Linked DNA regions of Drosophila melanogaster. The protein of the gene in region 1 interacts with the protein of each later gene in a pairwise test. Each region holds a gene or a part of one and is shown on either strand. Other genes may lie near its edges.

The links.
Region 2: the proteins of caup (region 1) and CG7381 interact in a two-hybrid assay, tested with the Drosophila melanogaster proteins (one large-scale study listed by BioGRID).
Region 3: the proteins of caup (region 1) and CG5011 interact in a two-hybrid assay, tested with the Drosophila melanogaster proteins (one large-scale study listed by BioGRID).
Region 4: the proteins of caup (region 1) and dod interact in a two-hybrid assay, tested with the Drosophila melanogaster proteins (one large-scale study listed by BioGRID).

Annotation. Positions count from the first base shown.
Region 1 is NT_037436.4:12,606,810-12,613,333, reverse strand, and holds the start of caup (caupolican), read right to left. Parts: upstream 3,704-6,524; 5' UTR 2,566-3,703; coding exon 2,515-2,565; intron 1-2,514. UniProt on the Drosophila melanogaster protein: Controls proneural and vein forming genes. Positive transcriptional controller of ac-sc (achaete-scute). May act as an activator that interacts with the transcriptional complex assembled on the ac and sc promoters and participates in transcription initiation.
Region 2 is NT_033777.3:12,966,506-12,974,875, forward strand, and holds CG7381 (uncharacterized protein), read right to left. Parts: upstream 5,623-8,370; 5' UTR 5,564-5,622; coding exon 5,500-5,563; intron 4,314-5,499; coding exon 4,006-4,313; intron 3,936-4,005; coding exon 3,818-3,935; intron 3,744-3,817; coding exon 3,126-3,743; intron 3,036-3,125; coding exon 2,916-3,035; intron 2,846-2,915; coding exon 2,726-2,845; intron 2,663-2,725; coding exon 2,258-2,662; intron 2,189-2,257; coding exon 2,057-2,188; intron 1,993-2,056; coding exon 1,840-1,992; intron 1,779-1,839; coding exon 1,678-1,778; 3' UTR 1,270-1,677; downstream 1-1,269. Other genes in the region: grsm (granny smith), read right to left, coding at 655-873, 949-1,095; CG14384 (uncharacterized protein), read right to left, coding at 48-97.
Region 3 is NT_033779.5:1,198,394-1,202,835, reverse strand, and holds CG5011 (uncharacterized protein), read right to left. Parts: upstream 2,166-4,442; 5' UTR 1,977-2,165; coding exon 1,734-1,976; 3' UTR 1,616-1,733; downstream 1-1,615. Other genes in the region: CG43349 (uncharacterized protein), read right to left, coding at 2,384-2,596; CG43348 (uncharacterized protein), read right to left, coding at 3,258-3,386; CG5139 (uncharacterized protein), read left to right, coding at 3,698-4,237.
Region 4 is NC_004354.4:21,342,404-21,347,820, reverse strand, and holds dod (dodo), read right to left. Parts: upstream 2,464-5,417; 5' UTR 2,371-2,463; coding exon 2,313-2,370; intron 2,202-2,312; coding exon 1,869-2,201; intron 1,500-1,868; coding exon 1,390-1,499; 3' UTR 1,258-1,389; coding exon of another isoform or gene 1,072-1,257; 3' UTR 963-1,071; downstream 1-962. Other genes in the region: peng (penguin), read left to right, coding at 1-290, 389-864, 1,072-1,257; fliI (flightless I), read right to left, coding at 3,636-4,046, 4,170-4,320, 4,556-5,417.

The DNA.
Region 1 (6,524 bases):
CTACAAAAAATCATATTAAATCCTGGACTACATAGCTGAAAGAGTTCAATAGTATGAAAAGTCTAACAATTCTCACTTTCTAGTTTCTAGATACATTTAACAACTGCTATTTTACTGAATAAATTAAGATAAAATCAATTGAATTTATTTAAATATCTATATAGAACTTGTAGAAACATTACTTAAACAAAAACCTTCCTGAATAAGAATTTTTAAAATGAATTAAATTTATGTAGAATTTATGTTTGTTATCTAAATAAAAGGTATGGATATAAGTTTTATGGTAGTGAACAGCTAAGTTTACCGATTTATGCTTCTATTTCGCTTCTATGTCATTAAAATAAATTTGAGAATAAGCCCCTACCAATTGCCCACATTTTTTCTCGCCGTGCATTGAATGGCCAAAGGGACTGGCTCCAAAGTGCGTTTTTGCTAATGCGAATAAGTTGCTCGGTTTTTTGTGGGGCTTGCTTATTGAATTAAGTTGGGGCGCAGAATACTATGGTTCGCAGTGGAACAACTCTTTCGCAACTCAACTGCGGTCTCAATGTTTGCATTAAAAATTCATAAATCAATTATGGAATGCACACTGCGAAATATTAGTTTTTTCTCGCATCATTTACGGGCTTGTCCTTTTGCGTCCCAATGGAGATGGAGATGGGGAATTTGGGGGGGCTTCAGATGGAGCCTATGTGAATCCAGGACTCGACATCGTCGCGCACTTTTTGCTGCCTTAGAATTTTAGTTATTTTGCCATGAAATGCGTGAACAGCTCGCATGGGAAGTTAAGAATTCGATGTGCGATGTGCCTGCAAGTTCTTTTGCTACTGCCAACTGTCAGCCGTTGATTAAATTTATATATTGTCGTTTTTTTTTATATTTGGAATGCCGTCTTGGCGTCGAAATTAAAATTAAATTAATGAGAACCCGAGTGTGTGCACTGCATAAATTTGGCACCCGAATGCCATATCAACTGACCAGTCTTTCATTGGTGGCTTAGTCGCATTTAGTGGCTTTTAGTGGCTTTAGTAGACGTATGCAAATGAGCCGAAAACGATGACAAAATTCTGTTGGCTCTTAATCGATTGCAAGGCAAAAGGCTTTTTGCACATCTCCAGCCATAATTATAGTCGATAATCTGAACGTTCATTATTTTAATTATTGTAATTTACCAAGTTTGCATATTATAATAAATGGTGCACCACTCCGCCGGCGGCTTCATTAGCATAAATTTATGCCAGCCACCGTGGTCAGGAATATTGTATACATACACACATATATACATATGTATATATATAAATGTACATAAATTGGCAGCAGGATAAACGCACTAGCATTGACGCATTTGACCACATAGTAGTCGTTGAACATGGCTTACACAGGCATTGCAAGGGCTTTGTAGCTGCAAGTGTTTCACTTCCCCCCGTTTGGGCCAACTAATTTGAATTACTGAGCTCCGAATACCGGGTAATTATGACCAGACCTCGGACGATGCACTGCCACCGGAATGCCCCACCAGACCCCCCCCTTCGGTTACCAGCGATTTGCATCCAAGGCGGTGACGGCTGTCCTAAATTGTGAAACATTTCTTGGCGGCGGGGCGGCCATTATGGCTATATCCGCATATATATATATATATCTATATATATATGTATGTATATATATAGGGATCCAGGAGCCCCAACCGGTGCCAAAGTGCTTGAATATTCATGTGCAGTGGCTGCTCCCCAAACCCGCCGGCTTAATATGTAAATTTAAAGTTATTTCGCACCGTCCATTATTAAAGATTTCCCTTTTCGCACATGCCAAAATATTCAACTGACTCAGTTTCTGGTTTTATGAAACATCTTTTGTGTGTGTGCCAAATATTATTTTAGTCCGCACTAAATAAATAGTATATTCAAGTGTCTCTTGAAATGATTAAGTTATGGCTGCATATTGAAATGGCACAGCTGTAAATCAAAATATAATAAATACATATAACGAAATTAATAAATTTAATTTCATGGCCAATATAAATTGTTATGACTAAGCCATCTGTTTTAAATTTAAATTTAAGGCACCCAGTAGCAATAATTCAGAAATTTGCTCTTTCAACTGGTTTTTCGCATTCTACTCAATTTAAATCAATGTATTTATAAATCTTCAGATTCTATTCACAATAATTATTGTAAGCAAAGTGCTCTTTATAATATGGTATTTATGGCCTTCAGTTTGAACACAAATTATGAGATTACAAAAAAAAATTTGGATAAGGTTTTTAATTGATTTGGAATTTGTTACTTTTAAAATTGAATATATTATTGACAAAATCTAAAGGGAGCAACATTTTCAAAGCAAATATAAATGTATATATAAGATACAATATTGGATCCATACTAAAAGATTCCTTAAAATTGTTGTCTGTGCTAAATAACCGTTTAAAACTTAAGTTAAGTTTGCTTACTAATCAATACAGACTTAAAAAAAACGGTTAACTGTTAATCTCTAAACAAACCACCGGCATAAACCCACCTGATTTGCCGTCGGGTAGCCAGCGTATCCAAACTGCGCATATGCAGCCATTGTCTCGCTGGCTGAGTTGGCCTAAAGAGCGGCGACACGCGAGTTCACTGTGCCGGGGCTTCACTGTGGGGCGTCCCTCGTTGTTTGCTTGTTGTTTTCTTATTTTTTTTTGCGATTGCGGATGCGGATGCTGGCGGAGCCCTCGAAAAAGGGGTGGCCAAGGATGTGGGGATGGTGTTGGGTGCTTAAGGGAGGTTCAAGTGGGTGGCCAGTGGGTGGTTGGGTTGGGTGGCTGGGCGGATTTGGCGTGCGTGCTCGACGGCTAAGCACTCTGGGCGCTTTTGTTGTTTGCTGGCTTGTTGGGTGTTGTGCTATTGTTGTTGTTGCTGCTGCTGGCTGGCCTTGTTGAAAATTGATAAAACAAATTGTCGATGTCGAGCAGTTCTGTTAATGTCGCCGGAGCCGGAAAATGTTTTGTTTGTTTTGTGTGACTTTGCTGTTTTATTTCGCTCGTCCGTTTTCATCCGTTTTAACTTGATTTTTATTGACTCTGTTTGACTCTTTGGCGGCCGGTTACCAAAATGGTTAAAAAAAGACACACACAGACGACAGCCGGGCAAAGCAAATTGGATTCAAGTGTTTGCCGCAAACAGATTTACAAATGTACGCGGCTCTTCAGTCTTCGGTCAAAAGAATGTGTCAGTTTGGTTTGCGAGTTTACCCACTGATTGGTATTTCAGTTTTTTCCACACTGTATCGAAATTTTTTAAAGTCAGCTTAGGAAACTTTTTGATATGTGATCCATAATAATAAACATAGTTTCGAATTTATGGCGAGTTTCTTTTGATATTTAACGAGACATTTCTAGAGAGGTTTGCCTGTCTTTTCGGGTCCCTTTTTTTCGTATTTACTTTTATCATAACTATTGCACGCACTTCATTATCTACGTCGGTTGCATCTGCCGATCCGATCCGCTGGCAATGCTCCAGTAAAAACGGGTTCCGTTCCAACCTGTCAGCGGTATCTCCACGGTGACGACGGCAGTGACTGCGACTCAATAACCGACTGTGACTTATCCGGTGACTGTAACTCGTTCGTCGGTACTTTCGTTTCGGCCTTTTTTCGAGTTTACTGGGCGACGCGGCGGAGATGCCAAGATGCGAAGATGCGCACCTATTCGCGTTTCGGAACAAACTGTTTTTCGGCCGCTCAGCGAGCAGCGCGGTTGCGTGTGACAGAGATGGCAGCAGCGATGTAAACGGGATGGCTGCAGGGCCGCGAGAGAGCCAGCCAGTTAGGAGCTCTCCCATTGGCCAGCGTTCCAATCAGACTGGCAGCCACGAGCAGCAGCCTTCTCGCTTGCACGTCTGTGAGTGGTCTGGTAACGAGTGAGAAGGGTAGACTCTCTGGGGCTGTTGTTGCTTTGTTCGTTGAGAACGCCCACCTCCAAGCACTGGAAAGTAAGTCGACGCTCTCTTTCTGCCGACCCCTCTCTGTCGACGTTGGAAGCGATTTCATGGCGGACCACGATCGAAAGGCTTCCCAATTGGATATTGTAGCCAAAGTTGGCTAAGAATTTTCCGATTTTGATAAAAAAGTACAATACAGAAATAATTGGAAAAACTAGAAAAGAGTTGCTGAAGATTTGCTATCATAATAACTGGTCAAAATACGTCTGGGCATACATTCGTGGGAAGAATTGGAACATTTTTCTACAATCTCAAAAAATCAAACATTAATTTAATTAATTAAATATAATGTTTAAGAAAATTTGCAGGCATATAAAGATATGTTTTTCAAGACGAGTGGGTATACAATCTCTTTAATATTGAGTAGTTTAGTGTTTTATTTGATCCGCTTCCAATTATTCTTTGAAATTTTAAAAGAGAATTTTCAATATTAAAATAACAAAAACATAAAACCTTTTTTATAAGCCCAGCTGAAATAAATATAATCTATGTCACATCAAACTACAAAAAATAACATACAGCAAACAAATATAAGCATGTTTTTATATTTTAATAAACATATTTGCTTTTCTATCTTGGCTCCCAATAAACAAAAAGTTTGATATTTTAATGTGCATTTAAATTTTGGGTGGTGTAAGGACTTGGAAAATCTAAAAAGTAATCAAATTAAATTATTTTAGAAGGTCTGCAAGTATATAAAGCCAAAATCTAATTTTATTTAAGAAAACTAATCCGTACGTTATTGGTAACATCAACAACATTTAATCATTACAGTGTGTGTGTGTTTTTTTAAAAATAGCTTGATATATGCATTGTACATTTCCCATAAAAGTGCTTAATGCTCCAATATCTCAAGGCCAAATCACGAAAATCGCAGCTAATTGGGACTAGCTAATCGTAACAAGATACCGAAATAGGAGAAAAAACAAACAAACAATCCGATTCCATTCGATCCAAGGAAGGGGGCGTGGCCGGTCCATTTGAGGGTCCTCGAGTCGAGTGCGTTCTAATTAATGGTATGTGGAGCGGGCGGGGTGGGGAGGGGAACTGAACGTTTTTGGGGAATTTTTGTAAAATGAGTATTTTGATGTTTTGGGGTGTTAACGCGCTGCCATTTATTATAAATGCGAGTGCATCTCAAAGTCAAAAGAGACGCACATGTGGCACTTTTTTCGGTACTTACAAACGAACGCATATGTAAATGTGTGTGTAGCAATGTGTCATTTGCATAGGAAAATGAAAATGCACCGGGTATTTTTGGGAAAAGTGTCCGAATGCCCAAACTCCTGATCGGTACTCAATTTCTGGACGCTCTTGGCGGCGCCACGAAATTCTACACCCACTTCATGAGTCTGGGGATCTGGAATACGAAAGGATTCACATGAAAGAAATGCATTTGAGAATAAAGAATTCATCCATGAAATTTAAAATGTATGCTTTTAAAAATTGAATTTCTAAAGAGCCAAATTGTGATTGGTTTAAAAGTTGCAAATAGTTATTCTTCAATTGAAAACAACATAAATGCAATCCAATCATACCAAAACGTTATGTAAAGTAATCATATATTAAAACAATTTCTGAATCATCAAATAAGCAGGACTATACTCGTGTAATTTTTTAAGTTTCGATATTTTGAAGATACACAAGATGAACATTTCAAATAATCTATATATAATTTATATTTAGCATAATTATAAGCTTATATTAAATAAATACTAAATGTTTAAGAAAATATGTAAAATGAGTATCATGCTAATTGGAGTATATTTTAATTGAATCGAATGTTTTCTGCAGTGTTTACCTCCTTGAATCAATATCTCTGAGTGATTTGTTTGATGACTTCGGACATGTGAACTGTGGCACATGTCGCATATCCTTGGGAGCACGTAGCCCGTGCCCATAAGTGTCCTGATCCCAGGATTCCCATTGTCTGAGCTCTGCTTTCATTTAGTGCAGCACACACACTCGAACATTGCTCACTCGGTGGACAGGACATGCAGATTATATTGAAAACAATTTAAATGTAGATTTTGGCGTTAAGAGATATTATTCTTCGACGCCAGGTGCGTTGGTTCAGAGACACTCGCACACACACTCCAACAAATTTAACTGCTAATGTGTGTGAGTGAATGGGTGGGCGTTGAGTGGGTGGAATGGATACAGTTGCACAGAGAGTTGCAGGCAGAATATTCACCACCCCACCTCCTTCCCCAGAAAGGCTTCTTACTTAAGTGTTGTTTCATGTCACCTGGAAAGCATTTGGACATGAAATTGTCGCTTTTCAGTATGTGGCACACACACAGATACTCACACATACAGTTTCCTCTCGGCGAAAAATCTTCTGCCGCACAGACACACACACACACAGACAGACACACATGCAAAGGCAAAAGGATAGTGCTTCTGGTGAATATAATAAAATCCTTTTCGCAAAACGATAAACGATAAAGTCACCGTAACAAGCACAAAAAGGATTCTCTCTCTCTTCATGCAAATTGCTTTAAATGAATTTGTTTTCGTTTGTGTTTTGGGTTTGCACACTTGGAGTTG
Region 2 (8,370 bases), on another chromosome or scaffold:
GAACACATACGCCGGATATCGAAAGCGATCTCTTGGCCGAAACTTACATGTTTAAGCCACTGGAGTTCTTATTATGAACCGGGCAATTGAGGGACATTTTGAGACTTGAAATTTATAGGCAGTTCAGTTTAGCAATTGTCTTACGACAAAATCAACTTTGACCTATTTGTACTCGGAAAGTTCACCCAGAAATATTTGACACTGTTTTACTGTTCTCTTCGATTCGAATGCAAATATGAGCTTCTGAAATACAGAAATTCAAGGTCCCTAGATTTTAATCTCCATTTTAAATGGGTCGCAAATCGAATATAAATCAAAAGATACAGTCAAATTACTGCAGATTGTTTTACTAGCCGAGCTGATAACAAAAATAAAATAGCAAACTGCAAGATAATGTGCAAACACTTTGACCAAAATGCCCTTATCAATATTAAGACAATTGAGTGGCAACAAAAAAAATAGAAAATAGAGTTGAAAACAAGGTGATAATTGTTTGGTTACGAAAACGACAACTTGTTCGCTATGAACCCAGTGTTTAAAATTCACTATCAAAACAAGTGAAGTTGACATACACATGAAAATATATCTTACTTAAAAGTAACTTTTATAAATAATAAAATAAATGTTAATATTATTTAAACTACTGGCACTTACGCCTTTTGGTGACTTCATCAGCATGCATTCACGACTCGAGCGGTTGGAGCTGCTTTTCCGGGGACACCTATTGACGCTCCTTGGCTTGCAGGCCGGAGTCGTGGGCTTTCGGGAACACTTGGGCACTATTTTCTTGCGGCCGCATCCCATATGTTTGAGTTTCTCCGATTGACGCCGATGACGCGAAGTGGAGCTTTTGCTGAGACACCGTTTCTGGTACTGCAGGGTATTAACGAAGGGCAGAAGATAAAGTTCGCCGGTCAGGGGGAAAGTGTGTAATCCCTAGGAACTTACTTTCGATCGATACTGATTCTTTTCTCGCGAACTCAATGCATTCCAGTACCCCGCTCCCTGACGCAGTGACTCCTCCATTTGGAGGTGCGGGGATTTAAGATGTATAGCCACCGCGTAACTTAAAAAGCCGTTTGGATACGGTGCCATCTCTACTTATACTTTTCAACTAACGTACTGAAATTTAGGATGCTAAACTAAGAATTACGTACAAAACATTCGAGCTTGAAAAATTGAAAGGTACAAATTTGAGTTGAGTTGCTGTTGCTAACTGATAGAAGTGAAATCTCAAAACTACTTGTTTAATAATAATTGCCAGTTTCTGGATTTGATACACAACTCTTCGTTGGCCTTAGTTTATTATGATGTATATATTACAATTTGGTTAAAAACTGTTCGCTTAGCCTAGCAACAAGCGGTTTAACTTCAAAACTTACAGATAATTTGTCATTACACTTAGCCGTATTAGATAAGCGAGAGTCGTTCCGTTCCGAGGACCCTTTCTCCAAATTTATATTGCTTCGACTCCTAAATATCAACTTACGAACTAATTGATTTATATTCACGTTGCGCATGGACCTGCATCCATGCCAGTAACTTGGCTAATACTGGCCACTCCCGCCGATCCCCAAATCACCCCGATCCCCCCAAGGTCCTTGGCCAACTCCTCCCTCGATTATCCTCGCCATTCCCCAAACACGCAGGTGAAAGGATTTAGGTTTTGGTTTGGTTCTAGTAGTAGGCCTGCTTTATGGCCGCACTGGTGATAAGGAAAGCGGAGCCAATCAGCATGAAGGTGATGATTTTGAGAGCACTTGGTCTACCGGAAGAATCTGCGAAAAGCGTGACATTCATAGATCATCCTTACTCAATTGGTTTTGCAAGGACACTTACTTTTCTTATTGGGCATCACGCGAATGCATTGATTCTGATTGGCGTTCGCCGAGTAGCCCAGCTTGCACTGGCACACGGAGTTGCGGCACTCGACATTCTCGGGATCCTTTTCTACATAGCACTCGGTGGCCTTGGTGCACGACTCTCCCAGCTCTGCAAGATTGCAACATATTAGAATTATTACAAATAATTAAAGAAAGCTTAGCGACTCAATTACCTCGCTTCGTCTCACAGACTCCGTTCTTAGCATGCTGCTCATCGTTGCATCCACACTTGCCCTCCGAATTGCAGCTCGCCAGGAGCGGCTTGCACTGCTCATCCTCGACGCACTCGTCCTCCAGCTCCTCGGCTATAATGAAATGTAATGTGGGGCAGGGCATAATTTTGCTGCTTTGCATTTCAGCTTCTGAGTACTAACCCTCTTTTAGGCACTCATCCTTAAAGTGCACGTATCCCTTTCGGCACTGGCAGGTGCGCGACTGATCCTCCTCGTCCTTCTCCTGGCATTCGGTGTTCTCAGGTATGCAGTCATCCTCCACCGAGCAGTCGGCACCGATGCCACGCATACACTGATCGTCCTTCTCAAAGTAGTTGTCCGCACAAACGCACACGCGATTGGAGCAGACGGAGTGATCCACAGGACAGCCATCGTTCGACTCACACTCGGCTCCCAGGCCACGTTTGTATTCGCAGAGCTGCTTGATGGCATCGTAGAGAGCGTACTCCTCGCAGGTGCACCTCCTCGGAATCTCCGGGTGGCAATAGGAGGCGCCAAATGGACTGCATTGGCTGTTCGAGGTGCAGGATAAGTGGTATTGAATGGCTGTTTTGATGGAAAAGGATATATCTTAAGTGCGATTCAGCAGCTAGCGTTGGAACCACCTACGTTTTCTGCAATTGCGCAGATCCCGCTCGTAGAAATAATTCTTTTGGCAATTGCAAGTTTTGGTCAACTGATCGAACTCGTACTCGCACTCATCCGTGCTCTCCGCAATTTCCCCCAGTTCTAAAGAATTTTCATTTCAGTTAATTTCATTAATAGAAGAATTAAATTGGGGGAAACCCAGTTTACTCACCGGCAAAACATTTTCCATTGCGGGCATAGTAACCCTGGCGACATAGGCAAATATTCTTGGAACAAATCGAGTGCGGCAGACCCGAGCATGTCTTTCCATTATCCGTGCAGCTGCTGCCATCTAAATGGGAAAAAAAATAGTTGAAATATATTTAAGATTGCCTAAGCATTGAGAGACTTCATTTTTTTGGGGGCATTCTTGGATACTCACACTTCTTCTCATCGGCATCGTCGTCATCGCGGCTGGAACCCAGCGTGGAGTAGGTCTTTATATCCTCGTCATCGAATCGGAAGAGGGCGGGCAAGCGGCGTCTTTGGCCATGGGCGTGTCTCTGGTTGCGGCTGGAGTTGCGCCTGCTACTGGTGCTCGTGGAGGCGGTGGCTGTCGTTGTGGTGGTGGCGGTGGCCGCATTGCGCACACTTCGTCCCACCTCCCTCAGCTCGTACTTCTCGATGCTCGTCTGGACGGCAATCTCGTGGGATCGGGGCGAGATGAGCGGCTCGGTGTCGCCATTGGTGAGCTGGGCGAAGGACACCTGGGCGGCGGCATCGCTGTGAGTGGGCGGGGGGGCGTGTACAAAGGCCTTGGTTAGCTGCCTTCGGCTACTGAAAGCGGTCTCCTGTTCCGGATCGGCAGTCTCGGTGATCGCCTCGGCTGTGGTTGAATCATCATCCTCTGGCGAGCCCGGATTGGTGGTCTCCGTTTCCTCGGTCTCGCCACCCGGAGTCGTTGTGATCTCGTCCACATAGGTGCATACTAGGCCAACGCACTCGACACCGGCGCCCAGTTCATCACAGTCCGCGTTAACGACGCAGGCATCGTTTTCTTCTGAAAATCAGGCATATATAGAGCCATATAGAGCCATATATACCATTTACAATAACTTCTCGACTAACACATACCCATTGATTTGCGACGGCAGATGTTTCCATATCTGTTATAATAGCCATTTGCACAGCCGCACACGTTTTGCTGACAACTTACAGACGCACGATCGTAGCCAAAGTAGCAGTCCAAGTCCTGTTTAAAATCGAAAAATCATGCGAAATTATAAAGGATATGTGCACGGTTGATTGGGCCGTGGTCTCACCGTTTCGCAGGACTCGCCGAGTCCGTTCAGTGGGCGACACTTGCCACGCAGATAGTTCTGGCCATCGGCGCAATCGCAGACCCCGGCTTTACAACTGGCCCCCGTTGGCATAAGATTGCACTGGACGCTGTCGTCGCACTTTTCACCAATGAGCGACGTGGCCAGGCATTGGGTGAAGTTCTCCGCGAGCACCGTATCGAATGTGGAGCACTCGCACTGGCCGCTGGCAAAATCGCAGCTAGTACCGTCAGCTGTGCAGTCCGCCTCGGTTTCACATGGCCAAAATACGGCCAACACGCCGCCGTCGCCTGAAATTGGTTAAGAAATGGGTTAGGACAGCAGCCTGTTTGGTTGGTTAAAAATTAACGTATCCACGGTGCCTGTGACCACACATTCGGATGTGTCGGGGCGACCCACTTTCGGCTGACTCTCAATTATTCAAAACGGGCTCCAGTTCACACACTTGATTAAGGAGATTTTCATTAACTTTCGATGGGTTGGGACAATTTTCCTAATCACCTATGTACCATAGAATCCAATCAGCAAAATCCTTAAAATATTATAGAGACTAGTTCAAAGAACTCACTAAAAACTGGAAGTGAAAACTAGATTTATTATGTTCTATAACATATGTATATTGGTGGATATTCAATATCTTCTTGTCTCGTTTTTAAAAATAAAATTTGTTACATTTTCTGTCCCAGCTTTAAACTGATTATCATTTACATTTGAAAATCGCCCTACTAAACCTCTTCCTTGATCCGATAAATTTGTAATTGGCTAAACATCCTGGTCAATCTAGGCAGTGCCACGCCCACTTATCTACCTGTCCAGCTGATTATTACCCTTACAAAAGGCAACTCTACTACCCTTTACTATAAGCAAAAATTCCGAGCGTCGCGACGTGCAAAGCTTCTTTTGGCACGCAACGTGTCGGGGCCGCAATTTATTACGTATACGCCAACGACTTCCGGATGAGGTTGCGGCATCGAAAAAATTTCCATATAAAACAGTATCAACGCGGCAACAAACAATGCGAACGCGAAAAATTGTAATAACAATAACAATGCCACCGAAAAGAAAAAAAAAAGTGAACTTCGCTGGACGCTTTGCCACTTTAATTTCCATTTTCCGTGGCCGGCAAAACAATTTCTCAAACCGCAAAGGACCTTGGGACCTGGACATTCGTGAGAGTCCTTTCCACCGGGGGATGGCGTTGCTCGTTGAGTGGTGGGGTCAATGGGGCAAAGTACTTGACCTTGATTGCGTTTGCATTAATTACTTGTGGTTCTTTAATGTTATGACTGTCGTAGGCCCACATTTATTTGTCCACTAATTTGGCCAACTGCCCTTTCGATGGCCTCACACCCGATTAAACGTGGCTTTAATTCAATTACCGGAAATCGCTCGCCACATTGGGCCACATGATTTCCCTCGACTTTTTTTTTCATTTCGCTCTCGCTATTTATTATTATTTTTTTCCTTTTCTGTTACCTTGAGGACTGAGAACCGCACAACAAAGGACGCCGAGCGTTAGAAACCATTGGAAGTTTGACATTTTCCCAAGCTGAGAGCTACTTTCCCGAACTGCTGGCTAATATGGCCAAAAGGCAACTGACCATTTCGAGTAGGGATTGGTCTATATCGAGTGCTCGATTTCGGTTAATCTTATCTCTATGTCGGCCATACAAAAAAAAAACACTCATACATCGATGATTAACCGGTGGCAATCGGCGGTTTTCCCTGATAATCCTAATTTGAATTATCGCAATCTGCAGTTTCAGTTAGCCCAAATGTCACCGGAATTGGTTGCCAGGGCTGCAGCCACCGTGATTACCCACTTAGTTGGTTCTCCGGCCATTTAGAGTGGTATCGGTGGTATCAAGAGGGCGCTTATCAGCGTCCAACACCTGCTTTGGACACCTGTTCTTCGGTCTAATGGTAGTAGTAAAACGTTAACCCCATCTGGTCTTTTGGCAAGAGTTGAGCTGATAACGCTGAGACTGCAGTATGGCTATTTTGTTACTAAATAAAATAGTTAATCAATGAATCACTCATTCAGATAGCTCATTATGTTTACTTTTTGTCTCATTTAATTGACAATCAAGGCTGTCATTGTAATTGTTTGTTAAATTTTTAAGTATTCCTTTTTTTCATACACTTATATTTAACTAAGTATCTAGTATACATCACTTTTACATATATACAGTTTTCTCAGCAGAAAGGCTGACTATTTTCTAAAATGCTTAAAAAGCTTCGACTATTTCATACCCATCTACCAAGTCTTACTTCTTGAAGGGCAACTACACGTGTGCCCAAATTTGGTTACTATCTTCTGAGCGTGCGCCTCGTAGTTTTCGGATTTCCCCCCGGTTGACGGCTATGTAAATTACTAATTGTAGTGTATTTATAATTCAATATGAATTATGTTTTAAAAATAGCAAAACGCCGTCGGCGACGAGTGTCGCAAGAGGCGACCTTGAAAGTGTCCACAAATGAAATGGAAAGCAATCGATGTGAAAGGGGTTAATTTCGGGGCTAATTTAACGCGGCCTGTCGGTTAATCAGGCCGCATTAATCATTGCAAGCTGCAATGTATTAGCTTTGAATCATCCGAAATGGTAACTCCTTCAGATTTTCACCGTAATGAATTGGCCTTTAAGGGCTGTGATGGTGCGTAAGTCTCTATTTGTTTGTTGCTTTCTCCTGACCGCGTTTCAATTTTCCCGCTAGCTGGCATTGTTATTGTTTGTCGCTTTTCCCTTCTGCCTGTGTGTGTTTCTGTTTTTGAGAGACATAACGTAAAAGGACATTTTGTGGCTATAAAAATGCTTTGCCACGCACGCGATGAAGTGAAAAGAGCAGCGACAGGTGCAAGAGAAATTATATCCCTTCCACCCCAAACTACACACACCATACCGTTTTTTTTTTTTATATACATTTCGGATATGGATTTGTATATGTATATGGCCCAAAGTTATTCAGTACAAGTGCAAGGACGCACTTTGAAATTATCGACTTTGTAGTGCCCCATTTAAGTTCTGACTGGGATTTACCGCTACTCACATTTGGCTTAAAGGGACGCTCCTTTCGCTGTTGATGGCTTAATCCTCGTCGCCTGGTTTCTATATGGCACACACACACACACAATGCACTCTCCTTTTTGTTTTCGCTTATCACTGTTAAGTGGTGTTTTTTTAGGCCATCAAAGGATCACTGAATAATTGGAAAGTATCATTGATTAGAAATGCTGCCAGCTTTGGGCCAACATCTCGAGTCCATCTTTAATCAACTAATGCAGACGTCGCCGGTGGTGTCGACAAATATACTAATACTAATAATAAACTAAATTAGTGGATTTCAAGAACACATGCCGCTGCGGGGCTCGTTAGTTAGCTGGGAATGGATATGGGGATGGTTATGGTTATGGGAGTCGAATTGGGAATGAGTTCCACATTCGATATGTAATAAATGACGCCCTATTAATGGCTATGTATTGGTTAGCTGGTCAGTGACTTCGGTGTGGTTATGCATATAATGGATTGAAATACGTTAAGCGTTAGCGCGCCGAATGTGATGACCTCCATGACCCGTCGATGGAAATAATGAGTTTTCACATCTCGCACCCGGGAATCGATACTCGTTAAAATGTTTAAAATTAATTAAGCCTCAATGTGCACAATTATGTAATGCAGAATTTTTAATTAGTTGTATTCACGACACACTCTAAGCATCTGCATTATTTTGTTTTTGAATTTAAGCTGATTCATTTACTTGCTTGATAAAATGTTTTATTTTTTTCGAATTAGGCACTCGATTAAATATCACTGCATGCCGTTACGCGCACTCCGCTTTTTAGCTCTCTTCGCGACTCTTTGGCGCGACTTAAAAACCGAGGAACGCAACTTGATCCTTTCGTAGCGAGCATCAAGCCGCTACTAATGGCTTTTTCTCTGGCTTCGTATGTTTACGACTCTCGCAAAGTCCAGCGAATGGAGAGCGGAGTGCGAAAGCGAGAGTGAGAGCAGAAGAGAAAGTGAGAACGTAAAAGCAGGACGAAGGCGGAGAGTACACTCGTAGAAATGTCGCAAGGCTGCAATTTTGACCGTTAAATCTATAGTTTCAATATTAAATAAAAAATATGTTTCTTATAAATTTTCTATAAACGAAAAATATTGAGGAATAATCCAAGAAAAATTAAGAAATGTAATGTAAAATATATTATAATTTATATAACTCTTACTGCGGCTTATTGCTTTATTAGTAATTGACTTAGGTAGACACAATTTTTCTTGAGTGTCTTGGAGCGCGAGAGATACTTCAAACGCGACTCGTGGCTCAGTCGCGTCTTCGGGCCGTAATTGT
Region 3 (4,442 bases), on another chromosome or scaffold:
CATTTCTCTTTCTCATTTGACGGAAAGTGGGGCTAACTAACTAACATCCCTAATATAAATCAAAATTAAGTTTAAATACAATTACACTTAGATGTAGTTATTATCTTCCCAGTTTTCAACTTTTTTAGAAACAACTTTTATTCGTAAATATAATCAGATGGAGCTAGTAATCGCTCCTCCACTGTGCCCCCCTTTTGGTGGCGGTCAAGTTGCCCGCTTCTAAGCAGCCGAACGCCGCCGCAATTTATCGAGTGTATTGAGTCAGTCTACGTGCTGCACATAAACCGCACTTATCTGGCTGACTGACTAACTGACTGGCTGAAGGATGTGGGCTATGCACATCCCATCCAGGATCCGCAGCCCACTTTCCTCCGGGGTGCGCTTCCTGCCATTGAAAGCCGATAGCCGACGGAGAGCGAGCCAAGAAAAATTGCATGCGGTTAGGAAAGCGAGCAGCAAAATTAATGTGTCTGCCCCGGCTGAAGTTGCCCCCAGCTCCAGCTCCAGCTCCAGCACTAGCTTCAGCTTTAGCTCCAACTACAGCTCTTGCTTCAGCTGTGGATGCTCCGCAGTCCGGACCGCGTCCATGTCCATGTGCTGCCACCCGAAGAAGCATCCATCCTTAAGCAAATAGACGGACGGAACGTGTCCGTGGCCATATCAAAATGATGTATGTGTGTTAGATTTGTTATAAATTTTATTTGCCGTTTGCTTGATTTTTACCCGGGTCTGTTCCATTAAACAACCCACCCACCCCGATTCGATTGGGATTCGACCGCAGATGCAGTCAATTATTAAACGCCTGAGTGATTGCGGTCACAAACGGGGTGGGTCTATTGCGAAAATCGCATGTATTACACTAGTTATCCAGCCAGAAGGTCATAACCATATCAGCCAACGTGGCGGATGAGTAATATATTCTTTTTAAAAACAAATTTTGTCTATGTGCTCCCATTATTAAGTAGCACTGTTAAAATACTGTTATATTCTAAATAAGTCTTTAAAGTTATATATTATATCATCCCTTTGTACTTTCCCTAAAAATCAACAGTGGCGTACCCCAAAAATCACCTCAACAATCTAAGTTAGGTTCTGACTAATGTAAGCAAATGCGTATTTCCTATCGATAAGATTGCACAGCTTTATCTAGCGTTGAGTTGAAGTAACTCATTGATAAGGTTTACAACAGGTTTATATGCATGATTACTAATAGTTCAGCGTTCAAAATAAAAACAAAAATATTATTCTTGAACAAATGGAATGGAAAAGAGCCAATAAATCAAAGATATGCTCAGTTAAGAATTCATGACATTCGACTAATACGATAAGCCCACGTATTAATAAAGAATCCAGTGATTGATTGACTGATTGATTGATTGTTTTCCTAGTGAAATATTAGTAATGACGTGTTACCTCAAGAATTTGATAGTACCCGAAAATAAGCTATCATAACGCACCTAAAGAATGACGACTTTTTCAATGGATTATCTTTATGACGGTCCTATGGGAATTCCAAAAAACCGTCCTTATCTTATTAGGCGCATATATCATCATACTCGAAATGGGATTGTTTGTTGGCATAGAAGCTACAAGTAATAAAACTTGAATCACACATAGGCGTGACTAACTAAAGTTAGTTTATATATTTAAAAGCAGCATATTTTTTAATCACACACAAATGTACATTTGTTGATATCACACTATATTAACCGATCTAGATTACAGTTCAGTTCTTATCGCGGATGCATTGGAGGTCCTGGGGCCACGTATCCTGGACCATATGGATACGGACCATGCGGCGGCGGAGGATTGTAGCCGGAGCTGTTTCCGTGAGGAGGTTCGTGGTAAATCGGATGCACTGGCGTGTGGAACGGGGGCTGTGGTTCATGGTGCGGAGGTCCATGGTGCGGTGGTCCGTGGGGCGGTGGCCCATGAGGCGGCGGGTTGTGGTGGTGGTGCGGTGGTGGAGGAGGCATCTTTGCTTGGCGGGCTTCTGTTGTACACTAAACTGGCTCACTCCTGCCAGACCTTTTATACAAAAGTAACATAGTTTCAGTAGGCTGTAATCTTATCTGCATTCTAGTGGAGAGGGACTTTCTTTTATATATAATTGTCTACCTTATCTGCTGGCTTTTTGATACTTAATCATACTTAATCAATTCTTGCTTCAATATTCTTCTAATTGCTTATTAGAATCAGTATCTTTATAATGGTGTTATAAAATTAAACAATTTCTAAAATAAAAACATTTTGCTCTTGGTGAAACTAACTAGAAGTTAGTGAAGATATTTTAATGTTAGTTTGTGGCTTAATCACAGTTAACGATTAAGTTTTTCCATATCAGTTTATAACGTTAAATTCGGCTTATATTGTATTATAGTTCTCATCGAGGATGCATTGGAGGACCGTGGTGTGGTGGTCCATGATGATGGTGGTCGTGGTGCGGAGGTCCATGGTGCGGCGGTCCGTGGTGTGGTGGCCCGTGATGCGGTGGCCCGTGGTGTGGAGGACCATGGTGCGGTGGCCCATGGTGGGGAGGTCCATGGTGTGGTGGCCCATGATGATGGTGGTGGTCGTGGTGCGGTGGAGGTGGCATCTTGACTTTTCTGACTTTAGTTGAGTACTAAGCTAAAGCCTATCCTGTCAAACCATTTATAGGAAAATGATTCGAATACGTTGTAATCTTATCTAAATTTCAGATAAGACGAGCCCAGTTCGGTTGATAAGTAAGTTTCGGGTTTTCCCACAACAACACTTCGCTCAATAAAAACAAATGTATGACATTCGAAATTAGTAATAACAAACAAGCGAATTGTTTACTGATATGTCTATATGTGACTTAAAGAATAAGTTAATGACGACTTTGCATGTAGTTCATAAGTACAACAATATGGAGATGTTATAATATTTTATTTTTGTAAGCAACAATCAGCAACAATCAGCAACAAATTCTTAAGCTTAGTACGTTGCACTTAGGACGTGTATTATAATTTAAAAAGCATTTAGATCTTCAAATCATATGTATGCTTTGTTCAAATTAATGGAAGCTTAGAATGCATTAAGCAGTATCACCAATTCAAGATCATAAACATTGAAGATATAGAAAAGAGTAGAGCTATGTATTTTGTACAGGCTTTTATTTCTTTGGTTTGAAGAGTTTTTAAGACTTTCTATTAGAAACTAAGTTCCCTAAAAAGTATCCATCTTGTTTTGTTCTGTATAAAATTGAATCTTATTTATAGTCCTTGTCCATGGGCCTAGTGATGTCCGTGATGGGGCTTCGGATCTCCGTGGTGAGGGGGATGCGGTCCTGGTTGGTGATCCCCAGGATGCGCAGGACCCTTCGGTGGGTGCGGTTGGTGGGGCTGGTGCGGTGGTGGTGGCATGTTTCCAAAGCGATTTCCGTTCTGAACTAAAGTATTACCCCGATTTCCACGCTATATATAGTGACGAAAGACTGCTGGAGGCATTGGTTTTCCCATTAAAACATTTTATCAGCCTGTTTTGCGATAAGGTGAGTACTTGGTGGTCATATCGGAATTTCCCTATGACAACGCAACGAGAAAATCACACATCTAGCTTCCCTGATTTTTCAATCGAACAGGATTTGTATATTCGTATGATCTTTTGAAGTGGGAGGAGTGTGCATTCTTGTATTCAAATTTTTTATTGTATAAAATTTTCTCGTGAACAAATTATGGAAAAGAATCTGTGGAATACGCTGCAGGAAGTCGAGCAAGTCGAGGTTGCTTTTAAGCAGACCTTGAGAAACATTACCGATATCCAGAACCGATACAAAACGGTTTCGGCCTTGAAGAGCAAGGCCTCCAGGCGCCAGGAATCCTTCGAGGCGGAGATCCAAGGTGCCATTACAGCACCCAATCCTGCCAAGAAAAGGAGGGTGGTCAAGAAGAGCAAGATCAATATCTTGAAACAGAGGAGTCTGCTACCAATGCCAGTACCCAATCTCAGATCGGAAACTATCCTGCAGGTGGAGGAGCCTTTTGTGTGTCTCGAAACGAATTGCGTCTACGAAATACACAAGACAACCACTCACCTGATGGCGCGGAAACCATATGGAGCTCTCATCCGGCGACTGTATCGGTCAGCCAGGCGGAAGAGGATGTACGACCAGGAGCAGGAACAGGATCAGGAACAGGTTGAGGAACAGGATCTGTATCCAGACATGGAATGTTACCACTGCTGCTGCTCAGCGTGTTGCATAGAGTGCAGATAAATTTGTTCGTGATTGTATATAGCATATTTTTGGGCTTTCACAAAGCTTCAAAGTTTGTAGCAAGCATTTTATGTGATAATAAATAAATTGTACTTGTCCAAATGAACAGCAACAGCTATTTGCTGGCTAGTAACAATTTCATTGAATTTATTTGAGTTGTACCTCGGGTTTTCCTCGATAATTTTTTCAATAACTAGCCTGAGCA
Region 4 (5,417 bases), on another chromosome or scaffold:
GGCAATTTACGATCACCTACACGGAGATCTAAAGGCGCTAATGAGCAGCCCGTACGGCCGACGAGTGATTCAATGGCTGGTGGCTCCGGGTGATACGACATGCTTCCATCCAGAGTTCATTCGCACGGTGGAGGAGGGTCTAGCCTTTGGAAAAAAGGAGAAGGAGCTGCGTCGCAAGGAGATCCTTGAGCAGATAGAGGCGCCGATTGCACAGTCCATCGCCGAGGATGCCGCCTTTTGGCTGTCCAACAGCCACATCGGCCTGGTCACCGGCGATATTCTTAATCACAGTAAGTGCACACTTCTGAAAGCCATAGCAGAAACATACATATGGATTTACAAGAATATGTTCACGATATTAATGTACGTTTGCATCTCTGCCTTTTAGTTCAAGGCGAGTCCTATGAGAAGGCTGCTTCGGCCCTTGCCCAAGTCGTCGTCCAACCGGAGTGGCGCATTTCAGCAGACGCCGCCGGTCCGCAGCCGCAGGATAAGAAGAAGCCTCACAATGACGTGGAGGCCATTATAGCCCAGGCCACCAAACAGCGCAGAAAACTGCTTTATGTCGAGAGCAGCAGCGACGACGAAGATGAAGATGAAGATGAAGATGAGGAGAGCGACGATGAAGGAGACGAGAAGGAGCAGAAGGAGGCGGCCGCAGATGATGCCGAACCCAAGGTGAAGAAAGCCAAAAAGGAGCCCAAAAAGCCAAAGGCAAAGGAGGAGGAGCCGGCGGCTCCGTTGGTCTCCGGAATCGAGGAGGCCGGCATGCACATTGTATTGAAGAAGATACTCAAGAACGATGGCAAGCGAGAGGGCACCCCGTTCAGCCAACAGCTACTCCAAAACTTGTCCTCCGATGTGGTAAGTACCCAAAAATCATGCCATCCGGTAACCGAGGGTATCTTCCTTTTTCCCAGTCATGAGAAACGCATCGTACTTTTGAGTTTTTTCTTTTATTTAATGACGTTTCGACATTCCTTTAGCTTTAGTCTAATAAATAAGTAGTCGCAAAGTAAACAGCTTCACTCAGATTCCAATTCCTAATTGCGATTCCCTTTCCCTTTTCAGCTGAAAGCCTGGCTGGGCGTCAACCGGGCCTGTTTTGTCCTGCTCAAGCTGGTGGAGGAGTGTCCCGCACTGCTGGACGACTGCAAGAAAGCCATCGCGGCGGAGAGGAGCCTTAGCCAGATACTCGCGGACCGTAAGACGCCCGGAGCCAAGCTACTGGCCGCCAAACTGGACATTGGCAAATGAGAAACGCTTCTAGCCTAGACAAGACCTAACATTTTAAAATACAATAAATAATTCTATATTGAAATGGCTGGGCATTCCGTTTTATTCATGTGAAGGGACGCGAGTTGTGCTGTGGGTCGGTGCTCGATGAGTCTATGCCTTGCGCAGGATGATGTGCAGGCCGGAGTCGCTGTCGACGATGCCCGACAGCTGGTTGACGTTCAATTTGAAGGCAGCGTCCTCGAAAGCCGCCTGCATCTGACCTGTGAGATGTGAAATGTAATTAGAAGCAGTTGCAGGTCGGTTGGGTGGCCTAAACTCTACGATTGCAAGTAGCTCGCGAAGTTATAGGTACAAAAATGTGTAAGGTAAGGAAGATTAAAAAAGAAATGCCGCGGAGCCAATTGCAAATAGTGTTTGTCTATAACTATGCATCTATAATCTATTAGTGGTCGATATATCTTCTCTTCTCTTCTCTTGAATATTGAAAACAATCAGAGCCTCTAGTGGAAGTACCAATCTGTTTCTGGATTGCGCCTCAAGTGGGAAGCGCCTTATTCCTAAACGGACACACATCGAGGACCACTCGATCCTGGACGTGTGACAAATGCACAGTGGGGAGATATACATACCTCTGCCGAACTTTCCCAGGTCGCCGCCCCTCTTGGCGGAGCTGCAGTCGGAGTAGGAGCGGGCCAGCTCGTCGAATGTGGCCTCCTGCTGGACGATTTTGTTGCGATAGACCTCGAGGAGCAGCTGGGCCTCCTCCTTGGTGCGCGTGATGTTCGCCTCGCGCCACGAGCTGGGACGCCGACTGCCCTTGTGCTTAACCAGCAGATGCAGGCAATGCACCTCGTCCGGTGCATCTCCGCCGCCGGCGGATCCTCCGCCCGCCTTCTTCGCCGGCTCTGTGGGCTGATCCCACTGCGACTCCTTTGTGTACATATTGAGATAATAGCTCATTCCTGCAAAATCAATCATGATCAATCAAGTGCAGGTTCAGTTTAGCGTGCCGGTTCCGCATTCCGCCGGAAAACCGCCGGCATGGCACGAGCGGGACTGCACACGATGCTTACCTGTGGAGCGGCTAGTGCGCTTCTCCCAGCCGTCCGGTAGTTGCTCGGCATCTGGCATGCTGTTTTCACTTAATTTGAGTTAAATTACAAATAGTTTTCGGAATAAAATAAACCACCAGTGTGACCGCGCCGAACACGCTTTGAGAACATCCATCAAAATCGATAGCGCCTGCCATCGACATATCGATACACATGGTGGCGAATTCGCCAAATAAGGTGCTGGCACGTGCTAACTGCGGTGGGTGCACTCGCTAACCGCAGATACAGCTGAGGCCAATATAATAGCAGCGAACTAACAATAATGTGCTGATATGTGCTATTCTGATATGTTATATGTATCTTTTGCCGAAAAATTAGCACATAACTTAATTAAATCTATTCCAATACCTCCTTCAATCCGCGACACGAATAGAGGAATTTCAATTTTTCTAATGTTTATTCAGGGGATTAATAAAAATAAAATAAATACGTGGGCATTTGTACAATTAGTTTTAGTGCTTCCTTGACTTTATTACAGGCTAGCTTTAAGTAGGTTAACATTTTAAAAGGACTAGCACAGGGGAGTAATCCTCTCAGCTCAGCGTATGTATATATATATATATATATATATATTGCGTATTTGTAGGCATATGTGATATACATACATATGTATGTATATTTGCATTCAATATACTCATGTGGTTTTCTCGCAGGGAGTGGGCGAATACTTGGCGTTCTTGGAGTTAGCTAATTATTTAGTTAGGGGCGGGAGCAAGTGAGCTAATAAAAAAATTTAAATTAATTATACAAAACAATTAAATACATTTTATAAAAGTACAAACACACGATCTTCACTCACGACCTGAAGGAAGGGCTTGGCTTGGCCCTTTCATTCTTTTTCCCTCGATACAATTTTGCTTTGTCATGTCTTCTGGGGCAGCTACTCTGTCACGGCAGCTGCCCAGCGCATCTTCCCAGCGAACAACATTCGCATCCGGCTAACAGAGGTCTAACTTAATGCTTAATGACCAATTTACAACTCGATGGGGCTCCTCTAACGGGCTAAGATTAGTGGGTAACACCTCTAAGGTGCCTCTATTCATTTCATAAAACTAAACTCACATTGCAGGCGTGCTCTTCGACTTCTGGTTAATAAATGCACTTCCCGAGGCCGATTCACTAGCTCTGACAGGGACTCGAAGGCGCCAATCGAGACAAGCAAGACAAAAACTAGCGCCTTTTAGGCGCTTTCCTTGCGGAGACCTAAATGGCCACATAGCGGCGGTGCATGAATTAGGGAAATTTAAAAGAACTACTCGACGATGCTCCTTCAGTTGGCTAAAATTATAAATACACCTTGAAGGCGCTCCAGCCGTGGAAGCACTTGGTGAAACGGCGCGACTCCTTGTTCTTCATCGTGAGGAAGAGCTTCCTCGGCCGCTCCGGCTGCTTGATCCGCATGTGCTGGATGTAGACCTGGGCGGACTTGTAGGCCAGCTTCACCTCCACCTCGCTGCAACGCGGTCCCATCCACAGGAAGACGTGCTCGCCGTTGTCCAGGATCATGATATCGTCGTCGGCCAGATCGTCCTGGCAAAAGTCGGCGCACTTCTCGGCCACCGTGTAGTAGCCGCGCTCGTTGGAGCACCGGAACAGCCGCGTGTAGTTCATGTACTCGGCGTCCGTATCGTAAGGCTTGCGGCCGCCCAGCGCCACCCAGAAGAAGTTCTCCGGCTCGTCGCCCTCGTTGAGAATCTGCAAAGGATGGATGAAAAGAAACGATTAACAAGAGCGTGTACCTTAATATAAACATATGTACAATATATTCCACAAAACAGCCCACTACATGGTTGAACCACATTAACACATGGAACCCACCTGTAAGCTCACCCACGGCGAGTTGAACATCTGCTCGGCAATATCCTGCACCAGTTTGGCCTCTTCGTTGCAGGCCTTGCTGCCTATCCACACGTACACAATCCCCGACTGCGAATCGTCCTCCGTTTCAAATGGCACATGGAGTATGTAGCTGAAATAATGCGTATGGAATATAAATATTGGAGCGACTACTACTATGTTCGCTATCTTTTGGATATATATAAATAATACTGTGTCATATCACGTAGGCTTCCAGGAATTTCAGTTTCAACCAACGATAAGACAAGAATGTTGATCCAATAAAATCGCACTTGTCATACATCTCAAAAAAAAAAACTGGGTGATTATTACCACCCACAGTAATAAATTATTGGTAATTTGCTCACCAGAAGGTTGAGTTGAGATGCACTGCATCCGGATTAATTTGGATAAGGCGAGTGGTGAGCGCACCGCCGTTCGATCGCAGGTGAAAGAACTCAACTGGCGACTTGCCCTTCGCGGTGTGCGCCTTGTCCTTCCGCTTGCCGGTGTGGATGATGAACTTCCGCTTGAAGTGGGACATGAACTTGAGGTTCTCCTGCTGCTGGAAGATCCGCACCACCTCCAGCTCCTCGCCGAACATCGCCTTGAACTTCTTCTGCAGTGTAAAGGTAAACGTGAGCCATCCCATATTGCCGGCATTGCGTCCCTGCCAAAAGTAAACGACGCACTGGATCTCGTCCTCTGGCTGATTGTTGGCGCTGGATTTACTGACGTCTGCGGCTGGGTTAGCACCATCTTCGGAGCCATTCTCGGGCTCCTCGATGGGAATGCAATAGCGGCAGAGGAACACATAGCATTCGCCGGTGTAAAAGCGACCCAATTCCTCCTCGGGCAGCCGGACGAACTTCTTGTTCTCCAGTACAAAGGCCTCCATCATCTCCAGATCGTAGTTCCACTCCTCCTCCAACTGTTCCGCCTCCGCCAATGGCATGGCCGACTGTCGGGGCATAAATAGCGCGGCAAGATCCGTGCGCGTCTCCTGCTGCCGAGCCCACTGTGTGAGATTAGCCCCTGTCTTGGCCACCGACTTCGCCGTTCTCGTGAAGTCCACGGCCATTACCTCATCCCAGCCAGCGAACTTGGTTCGGAAGATCTGCATTTCATTGCCCTCGGGTACACGCATCACCAGCGCATAATCCGGACGATCCATCATGTTAAAGAGCTCCCGACTCAACTTGACAGCGGCCGCTCGGACCAAACGCGTCG